3 linked regions of the Canis lupus familiaris genome follow. The main gene of each other region encodes a partner of the protein of the gene in region 3 in a complex. Links are inferred from orthologs where the notes say so. Each region holds a gene or a part of one and is shown on either strand. Other genes may lie near its edges. The genes, in order: ARFIP2, GOLGA4 and ARL1.

The links.
Region 1: the proteins of ARL1 (region 3) and ARFIP2 are in contact, whole or in part, in a crystal structure (PDB 4DCN), measured with the Homo sapiens proteins. The link is inferred for Canis lupus familiaris from reciprocal best matches to the Homo sapiens genes ARL1 and ARFIP2. Residues at the interface, in NP_001168.1 of Homo sapiens: Glu17, Arg19, Gln38, Ile46, Ile49, Gly50, Phe51, Asn52, Val53, Glu54, Thr55, Gln64, Trp66, Ile74, Tyr77, Cys80, Tyr81; in NP_001363487.1 of Homo sapiens: Phe205, Thr212, Lys216, Thr217, Asp220, Asp278, Ile281, Lys282, Phe285, Leu286, Glu288, Asn289, Lys292.
Region 2: the proteins of ARL1 (region 3) and GOLGA4 are in contact, whole or in part, in a crystal structure (PDB 1UPT), measured with the Homo sapiens proteins. The link is inferred for Canis lupus familiaris from reciprocal best matches to the Homo sapiens genes ARL1 and GOLGA4. Residues at the interface, in NP_001168.1 of Homo sapiens: Ile49, Gly50, Phe51, Gln64, Trp66, Ser73, Ile74, Pro76, Tyr77, Cys80, Tyr81, Ser83, Glu115; in NP_002069.2 of Homo sapiens: Thr2173, Glu2174, Glu2176, Tyr2177, Lys2180, Val2181, Glu2184, Glu2190, Thr2193, Lys2196, Val2197, Thr2200, Val2201.

Annotation. Positions count from the first base shown.
Region 1 is NC_049242.1:30,302,608-30,308,072, forward strand, and holds the start of ARFIP2 (arfaptin-2), read right to left. Parts: upstream 3,722-5,465; 5' UTR 3,571-3,721; intron 2,813-3,570; 5' UTR 2,771-2,812; coding exon 2,672-2,770; intron 2,416-2,671; coding exon 2,319-2,415; intron 1,556-2,318; coding exon 1,437-1,555; intron 1,254-1,436; coding exon 1,032-1,253; intron 503-1,031; coding exon 345-502; intron 204-344; coding exon 29-203; intron 1-28. Other genes in the region: TIMM10B (mitochondrial import inner membrane translocase subunit Tim10 B), read left to right, coding at 3,864-3,908, 4,084-4,179, 4,321-4,497. UniProt on the Homo sapiens protein: Plays a role in constitutive metalloproteinase (MMP) secretion from the trans Golgi network. May have important functions during vesicle biogenesis at certain cargo subdomains, which could be predominantly utilized by secreted MMPs, such as MMP7 and MMP2.
Region 2 is NC_049244.1:7,426,936-7,431,658, forward strand, and holds part of GOLGA4 (golgin subfamily A member 4), read left to right. Parts: coding exon 1-3,538; intron 3,539-4,723. UniProt on the Homo sapiens protein: Involved in vesicular trafficking at the Golgi apparatus level. May play a role in delivery of transport vesicles containing GPI-linked proteins from the trans-Golgi network through its interaction with MACF1. Involved in endosome-to-Golgi trafficking.
Region 3 is NC_049236.1:40,690,952-40,696,233, forward strand, and holds the start of ARL1 (ADP-ribosylation factor-like protein 1), read right to left. Parts: upstream 3,468-5,282; 5' UTR 3,257-3,467; coding exon 3,253-3,256; intron 484-3,252; coding exon 346-483; intron 1-345. UniProt on the Homo sapiens protein: GTP-binding protein that recruits several effectors, such as golgins, arfaptins and Arf-GEFs to the trans-Golgi network, and modulates their functions at the Golgi complex.

The sequences.
Region 1 (5,465 bases), on a different chromosome or scaffold from region 3:
GCTAGGGTCAAAGGGGTGGGGTTGGCACCTTGTTTTCTTCCAGGAACTTGAGCTTGATGGCCACATCTCCCCGCAGCTTCTCATATTTGTCCCGATGGGCCTGGAAAGTGGCCTGGGCACTCTCGAGTCGACCACGCGTCCCTGCATCCCGGGGGCCTAGGCTCAGCTCCTCTAAGTCTGTTCGATAGGCATCATATTCCAGCCTGGGGAAGGGGTGATACAGGCTGGTCTCCACCCCTGTGTCCTCCACACATACTCTCCTTTCCTTCCACAATTTTTATGACCTCAAACTTCCACCCATGCCAGCCAACTCCCAAAACCCTGGGCCCTGCTGGTGCCCACACCTGGCAGCCTCATACTGTTTGACAGTCATGAGAGTGTCTTCCATGGTCTTGGTGACCAAAGTGTTGATGCTAGAGACAAAGAAGTTCACAGCCCCTAGCAGTGTCTCTCCATTCTTGCACAGCAGCTTCTGTGTCTCTGCATTGTAGCCAAATTCCTCCTGAGGGCAGAAGGGGAGGATAGGCCTTGAGCAACAATTCCTACCTAACTAAAGCTATAGGGCCCTCATTCCCCTCCTCCCCCAGAAGGAAAGAGCCATCAAAACTGGAACAACCAAGGACTGCTCCAGCAAGGCTCTCTTAGCCAGAAAGTTATTGGGGCCACCCCGGGGATGGCTGGGGTAGGAGTATGGGAGTGGGTTCTCAGATAAGTTCACAGGACGAGAACAGGGAAAGCTAGTGCAGCAGGCAAGGGGCGGGGAGGGGGGCTCTGATTAGGCCGAGCACCGATGCAGAGAAGGGTTACTTGTGAGGCATCTAGTGTGCCGCCTCCCCCACCCCTCCAACTTCTGAACCTCTGTACAAACCCTTAGGCTGCCTCCACAGGTGAGTGCTGCTGGGGGTAGGGCTGGGCCTACCCTGGAGGGGTTCTCCCTCTGGGCTGCAGGAGGGAGGGAGGGAGGCTGAGGGCTGACTGCCTGGGAGGGCCCGGGCCCAGTCCCCCCACCCTCTTTGGCCTGACCAAGGCACCTGAAGCTCTGGGGACTTCTGGCTGAGGTCAGCAAAGGCGTCACCTAGTGCATGCTGGGTCTGCAGCAGGCTGTAGAGGTGGGCTGTCAGTGCCCGGCCCAGCTGCAGGACACTCTCATACTTGCGCTTCGTCTCACGCAGCAACTCAATCTGCAGCTCTAGCTCCAGGTCCACAGTCCGGGAGCCTCGGCCAAATCGCTCTGATAACAGCTGCTTTGTGCACTGATTGGGAAGTGGGGGAATAGGTCAGAGACCCTAGCACCCTGCCCCCCCAACAGGTATCTACCCTAGCATCCCAAGGCTCCTCGTCTCAGACAAGGATGGGAGAGTGGAATCTGGAAGATGGGGAAAAGGTACCCAGGGGAAGTCTGGGGAAGGGGAAAGGGAAAGGTGCTTAAATCCCACCTTATATGTGTTGATGCCCCATTTCTTGACGATGTCAAACTTTTCTCCAGCGATGCCCCGAGCCACCTCATCTCCCGGGCCAGCAGGAGTGGTACTGTGAGATGGATGGCGGCCAGACCCTAAAGAACCAAGTTCTTTGACACCAGCCTCTCTGATATAACCAGACATCTCTGTGGCTCCACCCATACTTCCCACCGACCCCACTATGAAATGACTTTCCACCGACTTCCCACCATGAAAATGACTTCTCTGAAGTAGCAGAAACTAGAAATTCTCCTACTCACTAGGAAGAACTCATACCTTGTGCCCTGAAACCCAAATCCCAATATATATCTGGCCTCCTCCTGAGATGGTGATGGGGGCTGGAGTGGGGGGAGGGAGGGAGTTGCTGATGTACAGGGGCAGAGAAAACAGAAGAAAATATGCTGAGTATTGGGTGGCAGGTCAAGGATGGTGGGTTCCTGACAATAGGAAATCTCATTGACGTTCTCATGTGGAATCCTAGTCAGTGTGAAATTCAGGGCTATTTGCTTCTCTAAACTTGAGAATCTGAAGCAAAACTTTGAGAAGCTTCAGAGTTCCAAATAAGTCTCAAGCTCCAAAGCAGGAGAACTTCTGCAAAACAGTTCGTAATGTGATTCAGGTGGTGGCAGCAAAGAAAGGACAAATGGACACATCTCAGGGCTAAATGGCAAGCGGGAGCAGTTGGACAGCCCTAGGCTCTAGCCTTGGGCTGAGTAGAGTCCATTGGGCTTGTACTAGCAAGAGTTCCCAAAATCTCCAGACATAGTTCAAGCTATCTTAGGCATATCCTATACTCCCCAGAACCATTCCACTCCCTCTGTCCATTCAAGCTTCCTGTCCTGTTCTGATCATTCATACCTGTGGGGATGAGTCCATCACCAGAGCCCCCATAGCCACCAGACACAATGCTGGTTTCATTGAGGTTGGGTCCTGACACCATCACCTGCTGGAGGTCCTATAGGCCAGAGAAGAGGGGGGCTTCAGGAACATTGGGGCAGCTGAAGCATTTGGGGGGTGAGAACAAGCTTGGATTGAAGCATCACAGAGAGAGCACACAAGGGAAGTCTGCATAGAATCAGAATGAAGATATGTAAAGATTGGAGGGAGTTAGATAAGTTAGGGGAAAACTCCTGGAATGGGGTGAGAGCCCAGGGCTTATGATTTTGGACTCCTAAATTGAAACAATATGGAGAAGAATCAAACAGAAGCACCTGCTCCAGCCCATCATCCTCAGGAAGCTGCCCGGCTTCACCGTTCCCGTGGATGGGGATCTCCATTGTGGCTGCCTTCCCTAGGATCCCGTCCGTCATGGCTAGGGAAGGGATTGGAGTCAAAGTCTCCACCCCAGCGCCCTGCAAAGCCCAACACAGACAGTTCTGGAAACTAGCCAGTACTCCCGAAAGAAAAGTCTCCCCCACCATTTCAGAGATTTTAGAGGTTGTCCCAAGACTTGAGTATCCTGGGGTTCGGCCACCACTCCTTTCTTCTCGTAGATATGTATTTCTCCCCTCCAGGGTGTGTATCTTTCCACATGCACACCCAGGTCCCCAGTATCTTCTCACGGACCCCCAACCCCACCAGGACTCAGGTGATCACTCATGCGTTCAACCATTCAACAGACTACTATTTGAGGTCACAGCAGTGGCCAAGGGAGAGAAAGTCTGTGCTGTTTTGGAACTTACCCCCATGCAGCTGTTTCCTCCCATCAGATTAACCCCTTTCCAGGGCTCAGGAGCCTACTCCTCCCGCTCTGGTATGTTCTCCATTGCTTGGCCTCTCACACTCCCTTAGGGTTGCTTCCCCTTTCCTTCAGGTGGTCTCTCCCTCCTCCATCCCATGCACCCCCTCCTCCTGCAGCCCTCCCCCTGCAGGCCCTAGTTGAATCAGTTGGTGTCCGTTCTTGGCCTCTGGGAAAAGCCACATTTTCCCAGCACATAGTGATCCCTTCCAAAGTCAGTTATGTCCCCCAGGTGTGTTAGTCCCCGCCCCCCCCCCACCCCACACCTGGGCATCAGGTGTGTCCTCATCCTTCCCCAGGGCTCTGTAGCATCTTTCCCTCGGGGCAGGCTCGTGCATTCAACTTCCCCTTGCCCAAGTATGTCCTTCTCACCTCGGGCCGGGCCGCTCTTCCCCTCAGGGCGCCAGGCCCGGGCCGCGCGGGGACCTCGGGCTCCAGTTCCCGTCGCGATCCTAGCAGCAGGTCAGGGACTCGGCGGAAGTGACGTCCCCTCCCGGGCAGAAGAAGCCGGCCACGTCGCAGACTATAAGGGCGGAGATGACGTTAAAGCCAGGGGCGGGGCGATCCTTGAGGCAACCCCTCAGTCCCCGGGGAGCCAGGAGAGGTCACTTCCGGGGCGTTACCAAGAGGCTGTGCGGAAGTGACGTGCGTGCGCCGGTGGCGCGATGGAGCCGCAGCAGCAGCAGCAGCAGCAGCAGCAGCTGAGGAACGTGAGTGGGTGCTAAGTCGCGACGGGGCCATCAGTTCAGCTGGCATCTTCGTCCGTTTGGCTGGAGGGCGGAGGGTTGGGAACGTCGCGCTCTGGCGCGCCGTCCTGGGAAACCTCGAGGGCGCGGCCTCGAGGTGCCCCCTTATCGCTGGGCTCTTTGTCCCCTTCTCTCCTAGTTGCGGGACTTCCTGTTGGTCTACAATCGGATGACGGAACTCTGCTTCCAGCGCTGCGTGCCCAGCTTGCACCACCGAGCTCTGGACGCTGAAGAGGTTAGGTGGGGTTCGCCGTAGACTGTCCCCAACCTCCACCGCCCCTACCTCTGGCCCGGGCCTTTCCATGACCCTTGCCCCTGGGCCAGGGATGGGACGGACACCAGTGGACACCAATGCTTCACCCTGTCTTCCTTCCAGGAGGCCTGTCTGCACAGCTGTGCTGGGAAGCTGATCCATTCCAACCACCGCCTCATGGCCGCTTACGTGCAGCTCATGCCGGCTCTGGTACAGCGCCGCATCGCAGACTACGAGGCTGCCTCAGCTGGGCCAGGTGTTGCTGCAGAACAGCCCGGAACCTCACCATCAGGCAGCTAGGAAGGGAGGCGCTGGATGGACCCTCAAACTGAAGGAGCCAGTGGACCTTGGGCTGGATGCAGCCCATATATAGAGTGAGGGGTTGTCTGACAGCTGGGTAGTATTGCTCCTTTTCTTGGAGCCAATAAACCCACTTTTGCACTGTTTGATTTATGTTCTGGGCACGGAAGCTTTGCCCGCTTTATTGGCCCCATCCTTTATCCTGTCAGCGCATATCTGTTGGCTTCAGCCCTGGCAGTGGAGAAATTGGCTTCTATGTGTAGAAGGAAAACCTCAACATTTCCTGGCACCTGGTTAAAACAAGGCCTGTGGGTACAATTTTTTCTTTTGTAAAGAGTTTATTTATTCACGAGACACACAGAGAGCGGCAGAGACATAGGCAGAGGGAGAAGCAGAGGCTCCCTGTGGGGAGCCCGATGCCGGACTTGATCCCAGAACCCCAGGATCCTACCCTGAGCCAAAAGCAGACGCTCAATGGCTGAGCCACCCAGGTGCATCTTACTTAATTCTTTCTTTTTTTTAAAGATTTTGTTTATTTATTTATGTGAGAGAGAGAGAGAGAATGAGCAGGGGGAGGGGCAGAGAGAGAAGCAGACTCCGGGCCTAGCAGGGAGCCAGATGCGGGGCTTGATCCCAGGGCCCTGGGATTATGACTTGAGCCAAAGACAGACACTTAACCAACTGCACCCAGGCACCCCTGTGGTACGATTTTAATGTTAGTAATAGCAATAGGAAGTTGGTTCCTGCCCAGATGGCAGAGAAAATAAGAGCTCTTCTTGTTGTCCTTCACTTAAATCTGACTTAATGGTTTATTTGTGAGCTGGGTGTGCATTCATTTATAACTCTTTTCATGGGCTCTAAAGAATTCTCCTAAATTTAGGGGAAGGAGGAGATACCTAAGAATAACAGATCAAGAAATCACAGGGTTTTTGTATGCAGTGCCTTCTGGAAAGTCAGTAGCCCCGTAA
Region 2 (4,723 bases), on a different chromosome or scaffold from region 3:
TCTTTGAGTCACAGCAGAGTACTACACATGAGCAGGCCAAAGCATCAGAGGAGCACTTGGCACAATTGCAGCAGAAGTTGTTGGACTTGGAAGCAGAAAGAATTCTTCTTACTAAACAGGTAGCTGAAGTTGAAATGCAAAAGAAAGATGTTTGTACTGAGTTAGACACTCAAAAAATCCAGTTGCAGGATTTAATGCAGCAACTTGAAAGACAGAAAAATGAAATGGAGGAAAAACTACAGTCTTTAACCCAATGTTATGAGTCCCAGCTTAAAGATACTAGCACAGAACAGGCACAGACAAAACAGAGTTTGATAGAAAAGGAAAATGTAATTTTACAAATGAGAGAAGGACAGAGCAAAGAAATTGAAACACTTAGACAAAAATTATCAGCCAAGGAGGACAGTTTTAGTGTTTTACATGAGGAATACGAAACCAAATTTAAAAATCAAGAAAAAAAGATGGAAAAAATTAAGCAGAAAGCAAAAGAGATGCAAGAAACGTTAAAGAAGAAATTACTGGATCAGGAAGCCAAACTTAAAAAAGAGCTTGAAAATACGGTTCTAGAGCTTAGTCAGAAAGAAAAACAGTTCAATGCCCAAATTTTGGAAATGGCACAAGCTAACTCTGCTGGAATCAGTGATGCAGTATCAAGACTGGAAACAAACCAAAAGGAGCAAATAGAAAGTCTCACTGAGGTACATAGACGAGAACTCAGTGATGTTGTATCAGTCTGGGAAAAGAAACTTAATCAGCAAGCTGAAGAACTTCAGGAAAAACATGAAATCCAATTACAGGAAAAAGAGCAAGAGGTAGCAGAACTAAAGCAAAAGATCTTCCAATCAGGGTGTGAAAAAGAAGAGATGAACAAGGAACTAGCCTGGCTGAAAGCAGAAGGCATTAAGCAGGACACAGTAGTAAAGGAATTACAGGAACAATTACACCAGAAGTCTGCTCATATGAATTCTCTCTCACAAAATGAAATGAAACTAAAAGCACAACTTGAAAAGCTGGAGGTTGACTTGAATCATTCTCTGAAGGAAAATACTTCTCTTCAGGAGCATATAGTTGAACTGGAAATGCTAGCAGAAAAAGACAAGCTGAAGGTTTCTGAGTTGACTGACAAGTTGAAAACCACAGATGAGGAATTCCAGAGTTTGAGATCTTCACATGAAAGAAGTGAGAAAAGCCTAGAAGACAAAAGCTTGGAATTCAAAAAACTATCTGAGGAATTAGTAGTTCAGCTGGATATTTACTCTAAGAAAACTGAAGCCTTGTTACAAGCTAAAACAAATGAGCTAATCAACACGAGTAGTAGTAAAATTAATGCCATTCTCTCTAGGATTTCCCACTGTCAGCACCACACAACAAAAGTTAAGGAAGCACTAGTGATTAAAACTTGCAAAGCTTCTGAATTAGAAGCACAGCTTAGACAGCTAACAGAAGAGCAGAATGCACTAAATAGTTCTTTTCGGCAGGCTACCCATCAATTAGAAGAAAAAGAAAATCAAATTAAGAGCATGAAGGCTGACATTGAAGGTCTGGTCATGGAAAAAGAAGCCTTACAGAAGGAAGGAGGCAACCAGCAACAGGCTGCCTCTGAAAAAGAGTCTTGTATCACACAGTTGAAGAAAGAGTTATCAGAGAACATCAACGTTGTCACACTGATGAAAGAAGAGCTTAAAGAAAAGAAATCTGAGATCAGCAGTCTTAGTAAGCAGCTAACTGATTTGAATACTCAGCTTCAGAACAGTATCAGCCTGACTGAGAAGGAAGCAGCCATCTCATCACTAAGTAAGCGATATGATGAACAACAACAGGAATTGCTGGGTCAGGTGCAAGATTTATCTTTGAAAGTTGAAACTCTGAATAAAGAGAAGACCTCTGCTCTTGAACAGGTAGATCACTTGTCCAACAAATTCTCAGAGTGGAAGAAGAAAGCACAGTCAAAATTTCTGCAGTATCAAAGTACTATTAAAGAATTGCAGATGCAGCTTGAGTTAAAAACAAAGGAAGCCAGTGAAAAGGATGAACAGATACAGGTATTGAAGGAGGACCTTGATCAGCAGAATGAGAGGTTGGTATGTTTAAAGGGTGAGATGGAAGATAAGAAGAGCAAGCTGGAGAAAAAAGAGTGTAACTTAGAGACTGAGTTAAAAACGCAAACAGCAAGAATTGCGGAATTAGAAGAGCATCTTACTCAGAAAACAACTGAAATTAAGTCTTTAAGTGAAGTTCTTAACAGTTACAATCAACAGAAGGATACAGAACAGAAGGAGATGCGTCAGAAACTTCAGCACATTCAAGAATTAGGAGACGAAAAGGACTGCAGGGTTAAAGAAGCCGAAGAAAAAGTCTCAAGACTTGAAAAGCAAGTGTCATCCATGAAATCTGAGCTTGAAACCAAGAAGAAAGAATTGGACCATGCGAATTCAAGTATGAAGGGCAAAGAAGAGGAGTTTAAGGCACTGGAAGATAGACTTGAGTTAGAAAGTGCTGCAAAATTAGCAGAACTGAAGAAAAAAGCTGAACAAAAAATTGTTGCCATCAAGAAGCAGTTGTTATCTCAAATGGAAGAGAAAGAACAGCAATATAAAAAAGACACAGAAGGTCACTTGGGTGAGCTAAATACAAAATTGCAGGAGAAAGAAAGAGAAATTCAGGTGTTGGAAGAAAAACTTAAATCAGTGGAAGGTCTACCACAGTCAGAAGCATCAGTTGTACCCACATCAGTAAAATACATGGTAGCCTGTGCTGAGCAAGGAATAGATCCCGAAAGCTCTGTGCAGAAAGCATATGAAGAAAATATCAGTACTTTACAAAGAAGTCTAATGGAAAAAGAAAAGCTGTTGCAGAGGCTAGAGCAGGAAAAAGAAGAGATGATATCTTCTCATTCTGAAATGCAGTGCAGATACCAGGAACTCTTAATAAAGATAGAGCACACCGAAGCTAAGCAGCATGAAGATCAAGTTATGATAAATTGTCTTCAAGAAGAACTTGAAGAAAAAGGCAAGAAATATTCCTTGGTAGCATCCCAGCATGTGGAAGAAGAAGGAGGTAAAAATACCATAGGAACAAAGCAAAACTTGGAAAATGTGGTTGATGATGTCCAGAAAACTCTCCACGAGAAGGAACTAACTTGTCAGATCTTGGAGCAAAAGATAAAGGAGCTAGATTCCTGCCTAGTAAGAGAAAGGGAAGGGCATAGAGTTGAAATGGAAGAGTTGACCTCAAAATTTGACAGATTACAGGCTTTACAACGACAGATGGATGAAAAAAATAAACCCATAGAAGCTTTGGAAGAAAGTGCTGAAGAAAAGTCCAAATCACATGTAGTCCAACCCATATTGCCTGGTAACATGGAGGTCCAGCACAATGACCTGGAATTTAAATTAGCAGGGGCAGAGCAGGAGAAGCAGAAGCTGGGCAAGGAGATTGTTAAGTTGCAGAAAGATCTTCGAATGTTGCGGAAGGAGCATCAGCAAGAATTGGATATCATGAAGAAAGAATATGAACAAGAAATGGAAGAGAAAATCAAGTAAGTTTTCCAGCATGAATATTTATTTATTGAGTGAGTGAGTGAGTGAGTGCAGGGAGAAGGGAGAGGCAGAGGAGAAGGAAAGAGTGAATTTTAAGCTGCACATCGAGTCCAGTGTGGAGCTCGATCTCATGACCCTGAGGTCATGATCTGAGCTGAAATCAAGAGTTGGACACTTGTGATGCCTGGGTTGCTCAGTTGGTTAAGCATCTGACTCTTGATTTTAGCTCAGGTCATGATTCAGGGTGGTGGGATCGAGCTCCATGTTGGGCCCTCTGCTCAGCACAGAGTCTGCTTTTCCCCCCACCTCTTCACCCCCGCTTATGCTCACTTTCTCGCTCTCAAATAAATAAAATCTTTATTTTTTAAAAAGATTTTATTTACTTATTCATGAGAGACACACACACACACACAGAGAGAGAGAGAGAGAGGCAGAGACACAGGCAGAGGGAGAACCAGGCTCCATGCAGGGAGCCCGACATGAGACTCGATCCCGGATCTCCAGGATCATGCCCCGAGCCAAAGGCAGGCGCCAAACCGCTGAGCCACCCAGGGATCCCCTAAATAAAATCTTTAAAAGCAAAGAGTCGGACACTTAACCAACTGAAGTCTCCCGGCATGAGTATTTTTAAGACAGTCCTTTTTAATTAAGTCTTTTTATTATGCCTAATGCACCTAAATTTCACCTACCCAAACTATGAAACATAAGTCAAGTACATTAAATGCTGAGAAGAAATAAAAACAATTTAAGGCAAGAGGCAGTGTTACTTCATGTCCATTTAGAGGGGGAAAAACCATTTTTTGCATATACAATTATTAGGTACGTATCCCAGTAATTACTTTGTTTTACTGTTTTTAGTATCAGCATTGTTATCATGTAAGATAGATGTATATGATGAAAAGTTAAAGTGGAAAAGAAGACTTCTCAAATCCCCAGGACCACTGTCTAGAGATAATCATAGTTTCTGTATCCTTCCAGGAGTTTCCTGTCCCTAGACCACACATATACACATATGCACCCCTTTTTTTTTTTTTTTAAAGATTTTATTTATTTATTCATGAGAGAGACAGAGAGGGAGAGAGAGGCAGAGGGAGAAGCAGGCTCCATGCAGGGAGCCCAATGTGGGACTCGATCCCAGGTCTCCAGGATCAGGCCCTGGGCTGAATGAAGGCTGTGCTAAACCA
Region 3 (5,282 bases):
CACGCCCCTGCTGGTGTGTGCACGGGCTCGCTTGCAGGCTCTCTCTCTCTCTCTCAGTCAAATAAATAAAACCTTCTAAAAAAAAAAAAAAAAAAAAAGCTCTAAACAGCAAAACCCAGCCATGCACAGGGTTTCCAAATTGCCTCTAAATTTATGAAAAATAATGTAATTAATATTATGCCCACACTGGAAGTTTACAAACTCTACTATATTAAAATTACATTATATAAAAATAAATAAATAAATAAAAATAAAATTACATTATATGAACTACTTATCAGAAATAAAGTTATGTTAGATGGAAAAAAAAAAACCCTACAATTAGTTTATCATACCAATACTTACTAGGAATAGTAGTAACGACTTCTCCAACCTGTAATCTGTACAAAATTGTAGTTTTTCCTGCTCCATCTAATCCCAAAATTAAAATCCTCATTTCCCGGGTTCCAAACAGACTGGAAAAAATACTTGAGAAAAAGCCACCTGAAAAAAATAATAAAAGAAAAACATCATTTTGTAAACTAAGCCCACAAAACATTTAATCTTGCCCTTTGAAAGCTACACCAAATTAAATAATGCTGTAATATCTTCCTCAAAACTTAGGTACATAAGTTTGCTCTCAATGATATATATTAATCAACATCAAACAAATAATTACTGATTGTCACCATGTCCTGCATACTGTGTCAGGAAGGCACAGAAGATATATTCCAGAATAAGAGAAACAGAACCACTGCCCTCATGAGCTCATGAGAATATGGATACGTTGGCGTGATCTCACAACCCCCAAACACCATACGACAAATCGAAAGGACAATGAAACAATGAGGTCCTCACATGTGAAAAGCAATTATTATCACTGTACAACCAACATCCTAACTACCTTCAATCACTGAGATTTCTCTGTAATACTACTTGCAAAAGAAATTGAGACACAGAAGCCCAAAATAACAAAACCTATTTTTGAGAGAAAACTCATTTAAAAAAATAATAAAGCTTCACTCAATGTATCATGAAATATTTCCAGAAAAGTTTCCTATACGTAAGGTATTGTGGAATATAATGGTGGTTCTCAGAGGCTGGGGGAGTGGGGAAAAGGAGAGAGATGTCAAACAAGGGAACTGACTTTCCTTATAAAATGAGTAAGTTCTGGAGACCCAATGAACAGCATGGTAACTACAAAGAAAAAAAAAAAATCAACATACTGTATATTTGAAATTTTCCTTTTTTTTTTTTTCTTGAAATTTTCTAAGAGAGTAGGTCTGAAAGTGTTCTCACTAAATACAAAAAAAGCTCAGGTGGCAGATGTATTAATTAGCTTGATTGTGGTAATCCTTCCACAATGTATATCAAAACATCATATTGTACCCCTTAAATACGTGCAATTTTGTCATTCATACCTCAAGAAATCTGGAAAAAAATTAAAATTATCCTTTGTTTCAGCAGGGCTTCTTGGTAACAGATTTATGTGTTGACTCATTTGGGTTGTATTTAAATAAAAATTCCCTAAGAGGGGAGTTAGTGATTTAGAATCTTTATTATTCTTTTTACAACAAAAGAAAGCAGCTTTTTTTTTTTTTTGAGTAAGAGAGAGTGAGCTTGCCCAAGGGTGGTGTGGGGCAAAGGGGGAGGGATAGAGAGAGAATCCCAAGCAGGTTGCACACCCAGCACGAGCCAACGTGAGGCTCAATCTCATGACCCCCGAGATCATGGCCTGAGCCCAAATCAAGAGTCAGAGGCTCAACAAACTGAGCCACCCAGGCGCCCCAGAAGCTTTTTTAAAATACATTTTTTCTTTATGATCGCCAGAAGAAAGCACTTTGGCCCTTCCACACTAAAAGCCATTAGAGAAGAATAAAAGGAAGTTACATTAACAATATAAAAAAACAGCAGACAACAAAAATGATGCTACATGCAATACATGGTTATCTGACAAAGAAATGGCACAATTAAGGAATCCAAGTCTGGAGAAATGAAGACACCACAGGCCAGAGAACTTTGGGAAAGTGTAATAGGTGTATAACTTAAAATCTTTTCTACCTTTTACACCGTAAAAAGAAAAGAACTTGGGGTGCCTGACTGGAGCTGCAAAGGTTGCAACTGCTGATTGAATTCGAGCCCCATCTTGGGTGTAGAGATTAGTTAAAAATAAAATCTTCGATGAAAACCAAAACAAAACAAAATACCGAAGACAGAAATGAAAAAAGTAAAGTGCTTGTGATATTCCAGGGCAGGAAGTAAATCCCCCAGAAAATCGTAAAGGAATTAAAAATAGGCCAAAGAATTTGCATCATGTGTCCAGTTAGTTGTAAACCAGTTAAAAACACTGCACCTTCGTCCGGGCTGCAGCAGGGAGGGAAGCTAGGTACTGCTGGCACTTGTGATGACAAGGGAGTGCCCTCAGCCAGCACTCCAAATACTGAGATTAGAAATGGAAGACTCCTAACTCTGGGAAAAGAACTAGGGGTGGTGGAAGGGGAGGTGGGCAGGGGGTGGGGGTGACTGGGAGGTGGGCACTTGATTGGATGAGCACTGGGTGTTATTCTGTATGTTGGCAAACTGAAAAATTGAAAAAATAAATTTATTATTAAAAATAAATTAATAAAATTAAGTGAGATCCTCAAAAAAAAAAAAAAAAATCTCATTCACTGACCCATAATGACCAGTACCGTCCCCATTCCCTTTTTCCACCTTAACTATGTTATCTACATGAAAAGCTACAGAGAAAACAGGCAAATGCCAAGTGGTCTATAAAATATGAGCAACAATTCCCTTTGGATTTTTTTAACTGCTGCAATCCCAGGGTCCAAGAAGAGAGAACCAGGCTTCCACTGCGGGGTCAGACCTCCTCTGTCACGCAAGATCCCTCGGCGCACCTGCGACTGGCAAACGCCAAGCCTCGCAAGGCCAACTCTGCCCCCTGCCCCAAGTCGAGGGGGGTCGGAGGAGGTGACGGAGAAGTTCCTGCTCAGGGGAAAGGACTCGGGGCTGGGTTCCCAGGCCGCAGCAGAGCCCGTACCCCCTGACCCCTCCGAGGTGAAGGGGACAAGAGCGAGGGCAGGGGCGAACACTCAAGGCAGCGTCCAGCGCCACAGGTGAAGAGCCGCGGCAAGTTCAGTCCTCAAGGATCCGCCCCTGAAAAGCTCGCTGCTCTGGGCTTCCCAGGCCGCCGCCCCCGCGCCCCCCGACCGCGATCCCAGCCCTCAGCCGCAGCCCTTCGAGCGCTCCCGGAAGCCCTTCTCGGACCCTCACCCATGATGAACCGCCTGTCCGCCCTCGTCGGTGGTCAGAGACGGGCCCCGGCCTCGGCAGCGACTGCTATTCGAGCCTCGGCGCCGCCGCCCCTGCTCGCCCCGGCCTCCGGCCTCCGGCTCCGGCTCCGGCTCCAGGCGGATCCCTTGGAAGTCCGCTCCGCCAGCAACTTCCACGTCGGACTCCCGGCGGGGGCGGGAGCGACGGGCCGCGGCGGCTACGCGCCAGCAACGGCGACCTGAGCGTCCGCGTCGTCGCTTTCGACGACAGTCCGCGGCGCGCTGGGTGGAAGCCAGAAGATAAAAATATTCAAGGACCCCAAATCTCTCGTGTTTCTGTTTTCTTGTACTGAAAGGGCTTCCAACATGGGGAAATTCGAATTTTCCTTTTAAATTGTGACACCCGATAGTGGCGAATCTGCCACCCAAGAATTCGAGTTGGGCCTCGATGCAGCCGCCCAACGGGACGCAGACACCGGGTGCAGCGTCCGAGGAGTTAACTGCAGGTCGTCCAGCGCCCTGCGGGGGCGAAGCACCTTTCTCTGGGTGCCTTCTCCCGCACGGAAGTGAGACTGCGTAATAATAGTAGGAACAGCCCCGCGCCGCCAATGCGAGTCAGCCTTAGAGCCGCCTCGGCTTGCCGCAGGTTTTTGGAGGCGCGGTGGCCTGTAGGGTCGTAGCGTCCGCGTGAGAGCCCTGCATCCCTGTCTTCCACCTGAGCACCTGGCCTCGTATCTGGGTCGGCAGTAAGGAACGACCTGATTCAGATCAACGGGACTGAGGACCTGTTCGCTCGCTCGAGGGGCGTCTGTTGAGAGTTTTCTTGATAGGAAACTGTTTTGGGAGGAAGGAAGCGACGCTTGGACGATGGAAAGAAGGGATTCTCCTAATCTTTATAAAGGTTGAGGGTGCGTATCTTAAAAACTCGAAAAGGTACACAGAAAAGTAAACCCATACCTAGCCTCAGATCCCACAGTTCTCCGTAGAAGTCACCATTGTAAACCCTTTCTTAGGTCTCCTTACAAATATAATTTTTACCTATTTTGTTTTTATTTAAAGCAGAGCTTTTCATCCATTCAACAGAAGTTCATTGACTTGTTTTTATTTTTTTTTTTTTACTTCAATTTTTAAACCTCTCCAGCTGCCTAGGCATTGAACTAGACTTGCCTATTGCCCTTGCCTCTCTTCCCCGCTTCTAAATCATAAATTCACAGAAACTTTACTCGCAAGGAAAAGTTTGGCTTTATTTGTTCTTTGTTGTTGTTGTTTAGAAGGAGACAGTTGAGCGACTCTGTATTTAAACACCTGGACCTTTTTAAGGTTGTGCTTTGTAAGTATTCCATCGTCCCAAGGTGTTGGACATAAGTGGGCTCAGGTTCCATGGACCCTTTTCACCTGTTCTTCATCTGCCTCCAGGTCCGTATCTTCGCCAAAATTAGCTACTGCCACTTGGCAAATCTTGGCCGTTGCCACTTCAAATTTTGCCCATGTCAGATTTAAGTTGCCAGCATAATGCACATAGTTCTCTGAAAATACAAATTCCCTTTGGGATAACTAAAAGGAAAGTTTACGCTGTAAATTTTATATTTGCACTGAATGTTCTGAGCGAAATAAGCAAATGAGACCTGTGCGAGGATGCGGTGTAAACTGAAGTGCTATATGCAGATTAAAAAGCACTATTAATGCTATTAAATGGCATTTTAGCCTTTCATAATGTGTATTAAGCACCTAATTACAAGTCCCTATGGAAACAATGTGATAAAAAAAAAAACAAATAAAAACCCTGTTGGCAATTTGATCAAAAACTTTTTCTTTAAAGATTTATTTATTTATTTGAGTGGGTGGGTGGGGCAGACGGAGAGAGTCCTCCAGGTCAACTCCTTGCCGAGGGCTGGGCTGGATCTCAGGGACCATGAAATTATGACCTGAGCCAAAATTGAGTCAGACGCTTCATGACTGAGCCATCCAGGTGCCCCCAAAACTTTATTTTTTAAATTTACTCATTTAACTCTTTGCTTTATTCATATTTGA